3 linked regions of the Sus scrofa genome follow. The protein of the gene in region 3 binds, or shares a complex with, the protein of the main gene of each other region. Links are inferred from orthologs where the notes say so. Each region holds a gene or a part of one and is shown on either strand. Other genes may lie near its edges. The genes, in order: MED20, MED7 and MED23.

Evidence for each region.
Region 1: MED23 (region 3) and MED20 share a complex: the UniProt entries of both Homo sapiens proteins name them as parts of the mediator complex. The link is inferred for Sus scrofa from reciprocal best matches to the Homo sapiens genes MED23 and MED20.
Region 2: MED23 (region 3) and MED7 share a complex: the UniProt entries of both Homo sapiens proteins name them as parts of the mediator complex. The link is inferred for Sus scrofa from reciprocal best matches to the Homo sapiens genes MED23 and MED7.

The regions. Positions count from the first base shown.
Region 1 is NC_010449.5:37,071,239-37,075,598, forward strand, and holds the start of MED20 (mediator of RNA polymerase II transcription subunit 20), read right to left. Parts: upstream 2,913-4,360; 5' UTR 2,783-2,912; coding exon 2,769-2,782; intron 1-2,768. UniProt on the Homo sapiens protein: Component of the Mediator complex, a coactivator involved in the regulated transcription of nearly all RNA polymerase II-dependent genes.
Region 2 is NC_010458.4:66,113,152-66,117,484, reverse strand, and holds the start of MED7 (mediator of RNA polymerase II transcription subunit 7), read right to left. Parts: upstream 2,890-4,333; 5' UTR 2,610-2,889; exon of another isoform or gene 2,315-2,609; intron 1-2,314. UniProt on the Homo sapiens protein: Component of the Mediator complex, a coactivator involved in the regulated transcription of nearly all RNA polymerase II-dependent genes.
Region 3 is NC_010443.5:31,991,194-31,994,838, reverse strand, and holds part of MED23 (mediator of RNA polymerase II transcription subunit 23), read right to left. Parts: intron 3,293-3,645; coding exon 3,076-3,292; intron 1,191-3,075; coding exon 954-1,190; intron 1-953. UniProt on the Homo sapiens protein: Required for transcriptional activation subsequent to the assembly of the pre-initiation complex. Component of the Mediator complex, a coactivator involved in the regulated transcription of nearly all RNA polymerase II-dependent genes.

The sequences.
Region 1 (4,360 bases), on a different chromosome or scaffold from region 3:
TAACACTTTGAACGAAAGCTGTCCAGCACAGGAGCCACAAGCCATGTGCGACAGAAATGAAAACTTCAACTCTTCAGTTGCACTGCCCACATTTCAATAGCTCAATAGCCACAAGTGGCTAGGAACTGGTGTACCGGACAGTGACATAGAACATTTTCATCAATGAAGAAAGTTCTAAGGATCCTTGGATCAAAGAGAAAGCAAGCCTCAAGTTTCTAATCTTTGAGAGTGAGAGGCAACAAGAATTTAGCCAAAACAATGAGATAAAAAGTTATTTCCAAGATTTCCTTCTATGGAGAGTGCAACTGGCTTCTACTTTAAGTGGTAGGTAATAATTACCAAGCACCAACTATGAGCCAGGCAGTGCCCAAAGCCTTTAGATGAATTAACTTGCATCAGCCCTATAAGACACAGCATAATCATTTCTTCATTACAAATGAGAAAACTACTGAACAGAGAGGTTGAGTAACTGGCACAAGGTCATACTGCTTAATGCAGTGTAGTCAAGTGAGGTGGCTCCGTGTCCATGCTCTTAAATGCTCCACCGAAAGCTTTCCAAGTTCCCACTGTGGTTAAGGATCAGCATTGTCTCTGTGACGGCATGGGTTTGATACTGCCCTGGGGCAGTGGGTTAAGGAACTGACATTCCCACATTTGTGGCACAGCTTACAGCTGTGACTCAGATTCAGTCCCTGGCCTGGGAACTTCCATATGCCTCGAGTGCAGCTGAAAGAGGAAAAAAAAAAAAAAGAATGCTTTCCTAAGGATACAGTTGTCTGTTAAAATACTTATAAGGAAAAAAACAGAATCAAAAGAAAGCATTAGGAGTTCCTGTCGTGGCGCAGTGGTTAACGAATCCGACTAGGAACCATGAGGTTGTGGGTTCGATCCCTGCCCTTGCTCAGTGGGTTAAGGATCCTGTGTTGCCGTGAGCTGTGGCGTAGGCCAGCGGCTACAGATCTGATTAGACCCCTAGCCTGGGAACCTCCATATGCTGCGGGAGCGGCCCAAGAAATGGCAAAAAGAAAAAAAAAATTAAAAAAAAATAAATAGTTCAAGTGCTATGAAGTTATATAAAAATCATAAAGACAATCATTATGTGGCTGAATTTTGGGAGGTACTGCATTACTTTATGACCAATTATGATCAACTAAAGGAAAATATAAAAACAGACCCCTGCTGTTGCTACAAATTGTCAGTAATCTCCATCAGGAAGAGCACTAACAAGCCACAATGATGATGGCCTTTATTTTGAAAAATAAGAGAATCCCTTAGATGATACAACTGGGGTCCAAAGTACTAGGAATCTGAAAAGTCGAGAAGGGTCCCAACAGAGGGCCTTTTCCCTCTGTCTGCCTTCTGCACTGAAGGAACAGGGGCTTCGGAGTTCTGCTCGTGGCTCAGCGGGTTAAGAATGTGACCAGTATCCATGAGGATATGGGTTCGATCACCTAGCCTCGCTCAGTGGGTTAAGGATCTGGCGGTGCCATGAGCTGTAGTGTAGGTTGCAGATGCAGCTCGGATCTGGCATTGCTGTGGCACAGGCTGGCAGCCACAGCTCTGATTCAACCTCTAGCCTGGGAACTTCCATGTGACACAGGAACGGCCCTAAAAAGAAAAAAAGAAGAAGAAAAAAAAAAAGCTGTAGGAACAGCCCTAAAAAGAAAAAAAGAAAAAAGAAAACAAAAACAAAAACAAAAACAACAACAGGGGCCTCACAGCAGAAACTGACACAATGTTGTAAATCAACTATATTTTAATTTAAAAAAGAAAAGAAAAAAACAACAGGGGCTTCCAGGATTCCATGCCTCTGCGGAGGAAACTTTTCATCTCCATTCTTCACATCCTCCTTACACTAAAAGACTTCCAAAGAGGCTCATGATGTCAACTGCAGGAAGCAAATGTGCAGTCACTGACAAGTGTGCAAGACTTGGGTGACTGGGAGGAAGAATTCCCACAGGCTCTTTTCTTATATGAAGACTCTATAGCCACTGACTCCTGATACCCTGGCCTCTAGCCCTCTCTGATTGGAAAGATGCTCCAGATACCTTTTTTTTTTTTTTTCTTTTAAGCCCTGAAATCTAGCATTTTGGAACTAATGCCTCCAAGAGCATGAGGCCCATATTTCCCTGCACTCTGACTCATAACACGTTACAGATATTAAGTCCACAGAAACTAAACCAAGCATGTAATTAAACATAGTAGGAAACAGGTTCTGAGGAGGTGATGTGCCTAACATCCCAATCTCCTAACTCCCAATAGCTTCTTTTTTTCCCCCTCTAGACCCGAGATCTTAAAATGGCCAAATTAGAACTAGACACAGGCTGGTCTAACTGCATTTAGTGGCCATAGGGAAGGGCAAAAACCTAAAAAAGATACTGCCTTCAATGTTGTCTATCTCCCTCCCCACAACCCATCCAACCTTGACTGCAGATGGGTCCTAAACCCGACATACTATTTCCGACCCCAGGCAGTACTGTGGGATGACGAGCAGGAAGAATATACCAAGAAAAACGGAAGGAGGTACGCGACCACTGGTGGATTCTTAAGATAAAAATTTTTAACCTGCCACCTTTGAGAAAGAAGGGGCGCATCTCCGAGGAAAAAGGCCCGCAGATTTCGCAGCCCTCACAGTGGTCCCCTCACCCACACAACTCGAGGGCATCTCTCTCAGACCCTGATCCCGATCCTCCTCTCGGGGACACTGGAGGCTCCACCGGCCCTTCACCACCCCAAGCTTCGCCCCACGAAATCCCTTGAAGTCCTACCAAGTCACTCCCATGATGTTAGGCCAGGAAGATGACAGTACTGAACAGCTGATACGCAGTGCTCTGCTGCAGCCCACGCGAGGTGAAACCACCGACCTAACGAAAGCTTCGGTAGTAGGAGGTGCTCCGGAAATAACGTAAAAAGTGCGAGTCCCTTCGGCGGCCACGAGGAACGGGGCGTACAGGCGCCTCCAGTGACGTCACTGCAGGGCTCCGCCCCCTAGGCTTGCAGCTCGGGGACTTCCTATTCGACAAATCACCCCGGGCCTAGATTCATGAAGCTAAGAAAGCGTGGCTTGGACTGCCACTGCTTAGAGAAGGCGATGTTAATTGCAATGAGTTTATTCGGGAGTCCAGCTCCAGGACTCAGGAGCTCTATCAGGGGGTGGGGCGGGGATGGTGGCAGGTCCGGCCTCCGAACACCAGGGGGCGCTGTAATCACCGTCTGGCCTCTGGGGAGTTCCCTGCGCCGGCGCACTCAGAGCTTTTCCTCTGTCCCCACATGTGAAACTTCCCGGCGAGGTTTTCTAGCGAAATGCCCAAACTCAAGGCCGCCCGCGGGGCCGAGGGTCAGGAAAAGCATGCGCCCCTGGCCGACCAAATCCTGGCTGGGAATGCGGTGCGGGCGGGGACCCGGGAAAAGCGGCGGGGTCGCGGAACCGGAGAAGAGGAGGAGGAGTACGTGGGGCCTCGGCTGACCCGACGGATTTTGCAACAAGCGCGGCAGCAGCAAGAGGAGCTCGAGGCTGAGCATGGGACCGGGGACAGGCCGGCGGCACCTCAAGATCGCACCACGCGGCTGGGTGAGTAGCGAGAGTGGGTGCGAGAAAGAGGATGGGTAGTTGGTAGTGGTAGGCTGAAAAGTGTCCGGCAGGATAATAGTTTGGAATTAAAAAAAAAAAAAAAAACCCAGGGGGGCGTATTACACTCTAGCAAAGGTAATGGAATGGGAGACCCAGCCCTGGCCGGATTTAGGGTGGCTGGAGACCTTCACCTAAAAGTTGAGAGTTAAGTTTTATTTGGAGCAAAATTAGGACCTAGGCCCGGGAGACAGAATCTCAGGTAGCACGGAGGAAACCGGTGCGAGGAGGGGAGCTAGGATATGAGGCAGGTAGTGTTGCCAAAACTCTGTCTCTGTCCTCCGATGCCCAGTTGAAGCACAGAGACAGGGTTTTGGGTGAAGAAGAAAAAGATATCTCTATTGCTCTGCCAAAGGAGGGCCAGAGCAGGTTAGTGCCCTAAAGACTATGGTCCCCTTGAGAGAGATTAGGAGATGGTTTTACAGTGTAAGAGTGGAAAATAGAGCCGCAGTTAAGGACCAGGGTCGAGGCAAACTTGCACGGTTTCTCACGCTCCTGTTTAGTGGCCCCAGGACTGGTTCTGGTGGTCCTCCTTTTTTCCACTGAAGAATGCTTCATACTTCATCAAGTAATAGTTCTGCAGAAGGGCTCAAAGATACTATGTATATTCCTTGAGGAGGAATCTGGACCTGCCCCAAGGTTGCACTATTGTCTCTGTTTTTTGTTTTTTTTTTTTTTTGCTTTTTAGGACCGCACCTGTGGCATATGGAGGTTCCTGAGCTAGGGGTCCAG
Region 2 (4,333 bases), on a different chromosome or scaffold from region 3:
CTCACCATCACTGCCAAATTTATCAAGACCTGTTAATTCCAAACCTCACTATCACGAATTCATCAGTTTTGACCAAGACACCATTCCCTCTTACCTGGAACACAATGGCTTCACCAGGGATTATTTCATATTCGTTACTATTCTTCTCTATATACCAGTCAACCCAACTCTCACACCACATTCCTTTTCCCTTCTATCCTAGAAAAAATGTTTTCCAGTATTCTTATACAATTCTTTACACCAACCTCTCCTGCCTTTGGGTCTTTCCATATGATTTTCTTCCTGCTTCAGGCACTAGCTTAAAATTGTCACCTCTAAAGATATTACTTCTCTGATTATTCATCAAAAACAGATTCTTCCTTTCCTCTTTTACTCTCTGTACCAGAATCTGATTTGTTGCCCCAGTCAGACTATAAGCTACAAGGGGAAGGACTATAACTATCACAGCTCTCACTGTGTCAATTGCGCACAAAAGCTTCATAAATATTTGCTGGTAGCTCCATTCATTTCAAAAGGGTTCCAAACCAGTGGAAATTTGGAAGTAGGTACAAACATCTTTAACATGCATTTATTCCTTCAAACATTTACTGTTTGTCTAATATATGATAATGATGATTATGACAGATAATATTTGTAGTGTATACTATGTGCCAGACACTGTTCTTAATTACTTTTCTCATGGTTATGAGAAATCTAAGAAAAGAAAAGTGCTCTTTCCAATTTGGAGATGAGACCACTGTGGCTCAGAAAGGTTGACCCACTTCTATAAAGTCACAGAGTAAAGGAAGGATCCAGAGTCTGAGAATGTCAAACACTACACCATTCTCTCTCTTAAGAAACACTGCCTCCATCCTAGCGTTGCTTAAAAATCTATCAAGGAAAATGGACAACAGATAACTACACGGCTTAAGGGTGCTACAAAAGACCAACAGATCTGACTACCAAAAACAAATCTAAAAACCATATAGAAAAGTATATCATAAACGAAATTAAAAAACAATCCCATTTTTCTGGGAGAAGAATGCTTGCAAGCTAACAAAGGACAAATACTAGGAATTTAATTTTGATTTTTTTACTGACTCCATCCCCACAAGAAGAAAAGCACTACGACTTCAGGAACTGTCTGTCTTATTCAAAAATGTACCTCCAGTATTTCAAGCAATGCCTAGAAGGTGCTAAATCCTCAATAAAGATTCAATGAGTTGTGGTTGTTTTTAACCTATATTTTTAAAAATTAATAGAAAAACAGGCAAAAGATGACAAAGAAAATGGAAATGTGAATAAAAGCTTGAAAACATTCAGACTAATGCACCGTTAAAAGCAAATTTTAAAAAGGATCCTTCCCATCTAACAGACTATTAAGATTTCAACTATTCCATCATTCAACAAACATCAGAACACCTTCCATGCAGTGGGCCCTGGATCCCGGACCTGGGGCTCCCAGAACACTCCCCTTCCTCTCGGTGCCCTCAGAGTGGCCGTCTCAATTTTAGAAGCAGGTTTCCCAATTTCAGAAGCAGGCTAGGGGTCAATTCCGAGCTACCGCTGGCGGCCAATGCCACGGCTCACCACAAGGCCAAATCCTTAACCCACTGAGTGGGCCAGGAGTCGAACCCGCAACCTCATGGTTCCAGGTCGGATTCCTCTCCGCTGCGCCACGACGGGAACTCCAGTATCACTGTTTTATACCCTCCCTTACTTAAGCTTCGTAATATTTCTGTGAGTTTAATACCACTATCGATTTCATTTTAGAGCTGATAATTACAAGTCTGTCTCATTGAGAGGGAGTGTCTGCAACCAGATCAAAAAGCTAATAAATGGCAGAGCAGGAATTCTTATCTAGGTCCTTTTTGTTGCACCATCAAGCTCTCTCAAATCAGTGAAGTACCAAGAGCCTAACAATACAAAAAAAACTTGATATACTACAGAAATTATGTTTCTCTCTCCATCACTTCTCTCAGCTGAACTTGTCAAAAGCGATGGAAGTCTCTGGTAAAACCAGCGCCAGGCATCACAGGTGGTGATCAGATTGAAGATCCACCTTTCAGTGTCTGTTTCGTTTTGGAGGACTTAACTAAAACAGAAAGGTATTCCAGGGTGCCAGTCCCAGAGGTTTTGCTCACTTCTCTACTGTGAAGGGGGACGCTTAAAAGCTGCCTTCAAAACCTCTCTGGATGATCTGATGATGAGGCTATAGTTCTACCTCCTTCCCAGCCTCCCACTATTTCATGTGATTAGAGGACTGATCCCCGAGGGAGGGTTGGTTATCTCATAAAGCCGGAGGGGCCAAGAGACTTGCAGAGGCTACACAAACCAGCGGCACACGACTGGAACTCAGCTCCCCGGACCTCCGGCGCAGCTCGAGATCCCGACTCGGAAGCAGCCCGCAGCCCACTGCGCGGAGAGCACCTTCCTCCAGGCGCTCTACCCGGCGGCTCCGCGGGGGTCGGGGAGGCCGCGCTCCCCGAAGGGCGCGGGAGAGGAAGGTGGGCGAGCACACTATGCGCCAAGCCTCCCACCACTCCCAGCCCGCCGGGAGGAAGCGGCGGGGTCCGGAAGGAGAAATGCAGCGGACGGAACCGAGCCCCAAGTCGTCGCCGCCCACTCACCTCGGTACTGGGTTTACACTGGTAACCGCCTTCGCCACCACAGCCGAAGTCCAACTTCCGGCCTCCTCTTCCCGGAAGAAGCTACTGGTGCTGTCTCTTGACTGGCGGAAAGAGCTGTCCTTTAACCCAGGCTCTAGTCCCGCCTCAGACCGATGGCTCGCTATTGCGCCTGCGCATAACCTCCTCTCTCCCCGCTCTTTCCGCGATTTGGCGGCAGCCGCAGGGTTTGGGGTGTTGGAGTCTTTTCTTGTGCTTTTTCTATCAGTAGCAGTGGCACGTGGTAGCGTCGTTTCTTTTTTTGCTGTTTTTTTTTAACGCTTAAAATTAAAGCATCCATATGCCTTACATAAACTTTAAAAAATAGAGACAAGCAGCTATTTTTAAACGTTACATTTAAAAAAATGTTACCCCACTGTCAAAAACAACATTTAAATAAATACATAAATAAATAATTTTAAAAATAACCTTAAGAAATGAGATTGGACTCCACATGCTGGAAATAATTTGGAACATGGAAATCTTAATCTCGAAATATGTGTGAAAATGGTTGGGAAGCAACATATTCTTAATTTATATTTCTTCACCGTCCATTCAGTTTTATTCACGTATTCAGATTCTGTTACATTTCCAGGCAACAAATTAACAAGCATAAAACAAAACGATATGTAAGAGTTTCTTCTGGAGGCGACTTTCAAGAAGTGCTACACATTTCTAAATTTGTGGGAATCTTACAAAAAAGCATGCTACCAAGACACGGCTCGGATCCCGCCTTGCTGTGGCCCTGGCTTACGCTGGCAGCTACAGCTCCAATTGGACTCCTAGCCTGGAAACCTCCATATGCAGTGGGTGCAGCCCTAAAAAGACAGAAAGACAAAAAAAAAAAAAAAAAAAAAAAAAAGATTTTTTTATTCCAGTTTTTAAAACTTACTATGAAGCGTTCCAAACATATATAGAAGTAGAGAATAGTCTCTACTTTCAATTTCAATAATTATCTACCTATAGACATTATTTCAGTTCAGTATGCATTTCTGAAAGATAAAGACTTGTTTGGGGGTTTTATTGTTGTTTTCATTGAACCACAGAACCACTGTCTCATTTAAAAATAAGTTAATAACTTGATTTAGTTTCATCAATGAAATCAGTATGAAAATACCAAATGTCTGAAGATGCAATGAAGTCTTTTGTGACTAGCTGATGTATCTTTTTATTATCTTTTTTTTTTTTTTTTTTTTTTTGGCTTTTTAGGGCCACACTCCAGGGCATATGGAGGTTCCCAGGCTAGGGGTCTAATTGGAACTGTAGCTGCTGACCTAGACCACAGCCACAGCAATGCAAGATCCAAGCCACGTCTGTGAACTACACCAGAGCTCAGGGCAAAGCTGGATCCTTAACCCACTGGGCAAGATCAGGGATCAAACTTTCATCCTCACAGATGCTAGTCAGGTTCATTAACTGCTGAGCCACAATGGGAACTCCTCTTTCTATTATCTTTTAATCTATAGTTTCCTTCCTCCATTTCAGTCCCCCCCCCCACACACATCAATTTATTTGTTGAAGAAATATGTTCACTTTTTTTTTGTTTTCGTTTTTTGGCTTTTTGACTTTTTAGGGCCACACTTGTGGCACATGGAGGTTCACAGGCTAGGGGCTGAATGAGAGCTACAGCTGCTGGCCTATGCCACAGCCACAACAACTTGGGATCCGAGCTGCGTCTGCAACCTACA
Region 3 (3,645 bases):
ATGATCAACCACAGGTATAAACGGTTGGTTTTATGTAAGTGGGCTCTTATATCTGTGACTTAAGAGCTACAGATGCAGCCAAGCTATCCCTAGGCTTTATCAACTTATTTCTTTTAGTACCTATAGGACAGTTAATAAGAAAATTTCTTTAGCCTAAGTAATTCTTTTACTTCAGGAAATAATTCCTTTGTGTAGTAAAATAAACCTAGTAAATAGTGGCATGGTGTACAATGTGCTATTAAATACAATGTGCTAATTACTTGAAATAAAAATATCAATATAGAATTTCTCACTAAAAAAAAGAAAAAGAAGTTTTATTACTATCTATTAATGCTTTAAAAAATTCAGGTTTTTATTTAAAGCAACAAAATTCTATGTTCTCTGGTGGTGAATAGATGCATGTACTACAAGACTTAGTACATTTATTTAGGAATAGGATATTTTTCTTTGAAATAAATCTCTTCTCTAAGGTCTTTTTTCTTTTTTTAGGGCTGCATCCACAGCATATGGAGGTTCCCAGGCTAGGGGTCTAATTGGACCCGTAGCGCTGGCCTACATCATAGCCACAACAACGCAAGATTCGAGCTGTGTCTATAACCTATACCATAGCTCACGGCAACACCGGATCCTTGACCCACTGAGCGAGGCCAGGGATCGAATCCTCCTCGTTCTCATGGCTAATGGTCAGATTCGTTTCCGCTGAGCCATGAAGGCGGAAATATAAATTTTTAAATATAAATTTTTTTAAATATAAATTTTAGTGGAGTAAATTTCTACCTACATGGCATGCTGCTACTAATTTAAGATTTCAAAACCTTTACAGAAGCAAAAATTAAAACATAAAACATTAAAAAACCTGAAGTCTTGGAACATATAAAAAGACAACATATGTTCACACATATCGACATACAGTTATTTCTGCAGAGACTGGAAAAGCACAATAAAAAGGATATTATCTACTAGTCTGCCAATCAATTTGCAATAGTAGGAGTCATCGGGGACCCAGGGATTGTCTTCTCGTGCGTTCATAGCACATTTCAGGTAAGTGTCACTTAGACACCAGCCCTGTGGTCGGTTATCCTTGAGCGACCCAATGATTGCATGGACAAGTTTTCGTTTGAGACTTTCACGATTTCTCAGGTGCATTTCATAATAGTGCAGAGTATTATACAAATAAGTTACTGGACGATCTGCCAAGAAGAAAAGAGGTCACTACAATGTTTACCTGGTTACTGACAACTGTGAAAAAATAACCTTCTATTTTTAAGATTACCAATAAATAGCTCAGAAGGTTATGAAAACTACTTCACATGTTGGCCAAGTGCATACAATGAATGTTTTTATCCTAGGACAAGGCAAAAGGCTTCTAACAATATACAGAGCTTATATTGAAGGATATTTATCACATTCTGAGGTCACAATTCCACTTCTGGAAATTTACTCTGCAAAAAATGTCATAAATGTAAGCAATGTCGCTGAAGCCCTGCTTATACCAGCAAAAGATCAAAACAGCCTAAAGAGTGAAAAACAGTGGACAGGTTAACTTAATTACCGCATATAAGAAGCAGCTTTGTATGTACTGATACAAATTTATCAACCCCAATACATTAGAAAGGTTAGAAAGGTTAAAAAAAAAAAAAGGTGCAGAACAATGTGTAGTATTACATATTTGTGGGAAAAAGACTACCAACCTCACAATATTTATGGTACGATACACAAGAAAGTGGTAACAGAAATTGCTTATAGAGAAAGAAACTGCTGAACTAGAGCACAGGCTTGGGACTAACTACTTTACACTTCATTATGTGCATATATTATCCGATCCAAAAGAAAAGTATTTTTATTTTTAAAATTTTTTTTCTTTTTAGGGCTGTACCCACAGCATACGGAAATTCACAGGCTAGGGGTCACATTGGAGCTGTAGATGCAGGCCTACACCACAGCAACGCTGGATCGTTAACCCACTGAGCAAGGCCAAGGATTGAACCTGCATCCTCATGGATGCTATTCAGATTTGTTTCCGCTGAGCCACGAAAGGAACTCCAGAGAAGTGTTTTTAAAAGACTGCTCCCTTGAACTTCATACTTACTCTACAGTGCTAAAACATAATTCAGATTTGTTTTGGAGGAAGACTTCTTACACCAAGGATTAAGAAGAACTACCCCCCAAATAAACACTCTGTCCCCATAGTGGCTACTCCAAGACTTCCACACTCTGTCACTGATTTCACTATTCTCCAGTTATCAAGCTTAAAACATCATAGAGCTGTCTTTGCTTTCTTTTGATATTCCCCCCATAACTGGTCAATCAAGCCCAATTCTTACTTCCTTGACTATCTGTCCCTTCTTTCTCATTCAAGGCCATCATACTTGTTTAGATGCTAATACAACTGAATGTCTTGTTATAAGTCTTTAAAATGACTTCCTCCTTCCAAGTTGTCCATATTGGAATTACAACTGACTAGATTTATCTTTCTAAAATAATACTATGACATGACTTAACTCAGTAACTTCTAGTTAATGCTTGATTATCTTTAGGTTATAAAATCAGAACTTCTGAGCCTGGCATTTACGGTGATCTGCCATCAGGTACAATTTAGCCCAACGAGACGACTGTTTTCAAAATGCCTTGTTTTTAACATCTCCATGATTCTTCCAAAAGATTTTTTCTGCCTAGTATGTTCTCTTCTCCTTCCTATTTATATAAATCCCATACATCATAGTTCAAACCCTAACCATCCAAGAAGCCCACTAAGATCTATTTAGTTCACAGTAACACCAGTCTGTTCTGAACTTATTTTTTTTCCTTCTGTACTGATTTGGAAATTAATCACACAATATATACAACAAGGCTTCTCTTGCATATTACTTTTTTTTTTTTTTTGCTCTGATCTGTTGATATTTTTATGTCATTTATTTTACATTTCATGGCATCATCACACATACCTCCTCTCAAAACACTTATATTAAAATTATTAAAATAAAACCTTTAGAATCACCATTATCCATTTGGTCATGACCAGCCTACTTTTGTCTACAGGGCTATTAGATGGAATTAAAATTTGAAAAAGCTCACCATGAAATTTATACAAGCCTCCCAGGTGATCTAGTAGAGTCTCCAATGATTTGGATACTGGGAGCAATTCTAAAAATCTGTGGATTACTATATCAAATACTGGAAGGAAGCGGAGACACACATTTCCAAAATAGATGGGCAGGTAGGGAGACTGGATCGGCACAGGAGGATCAACCTGCTCTGCCAGGCCCTCAAAATAGAGCTTCTCCGGATATTTCTGTGGAAATGAGGAAATGGTAAATGTTGAGGCATGTTTTTTTTTTTTTTCTCCTTAAAGGAGCTAAACTTGTCGTTTTTCACAGAATCTGAAACTGTTTGCTGCTACAATAAAATGAAACTTAAGAGTCCTTTTATCCAACAAAAAATCTCTACTGTTTCAAAGATACATTTACATACATAATTCTTTTCATTTTTTAAGTACTCATGTCTACTAAAACTATAGTTTTAATTTATTCTGAACATTACAGATAGCCTCTAGAACCTTGAGAAAGTTAAGAGAGCTAATTCACTTCTATACGGACCAGAGAGAAAACAGTAGAGCTGCAGAGAAAACAGCCAGGTCAATTAGCC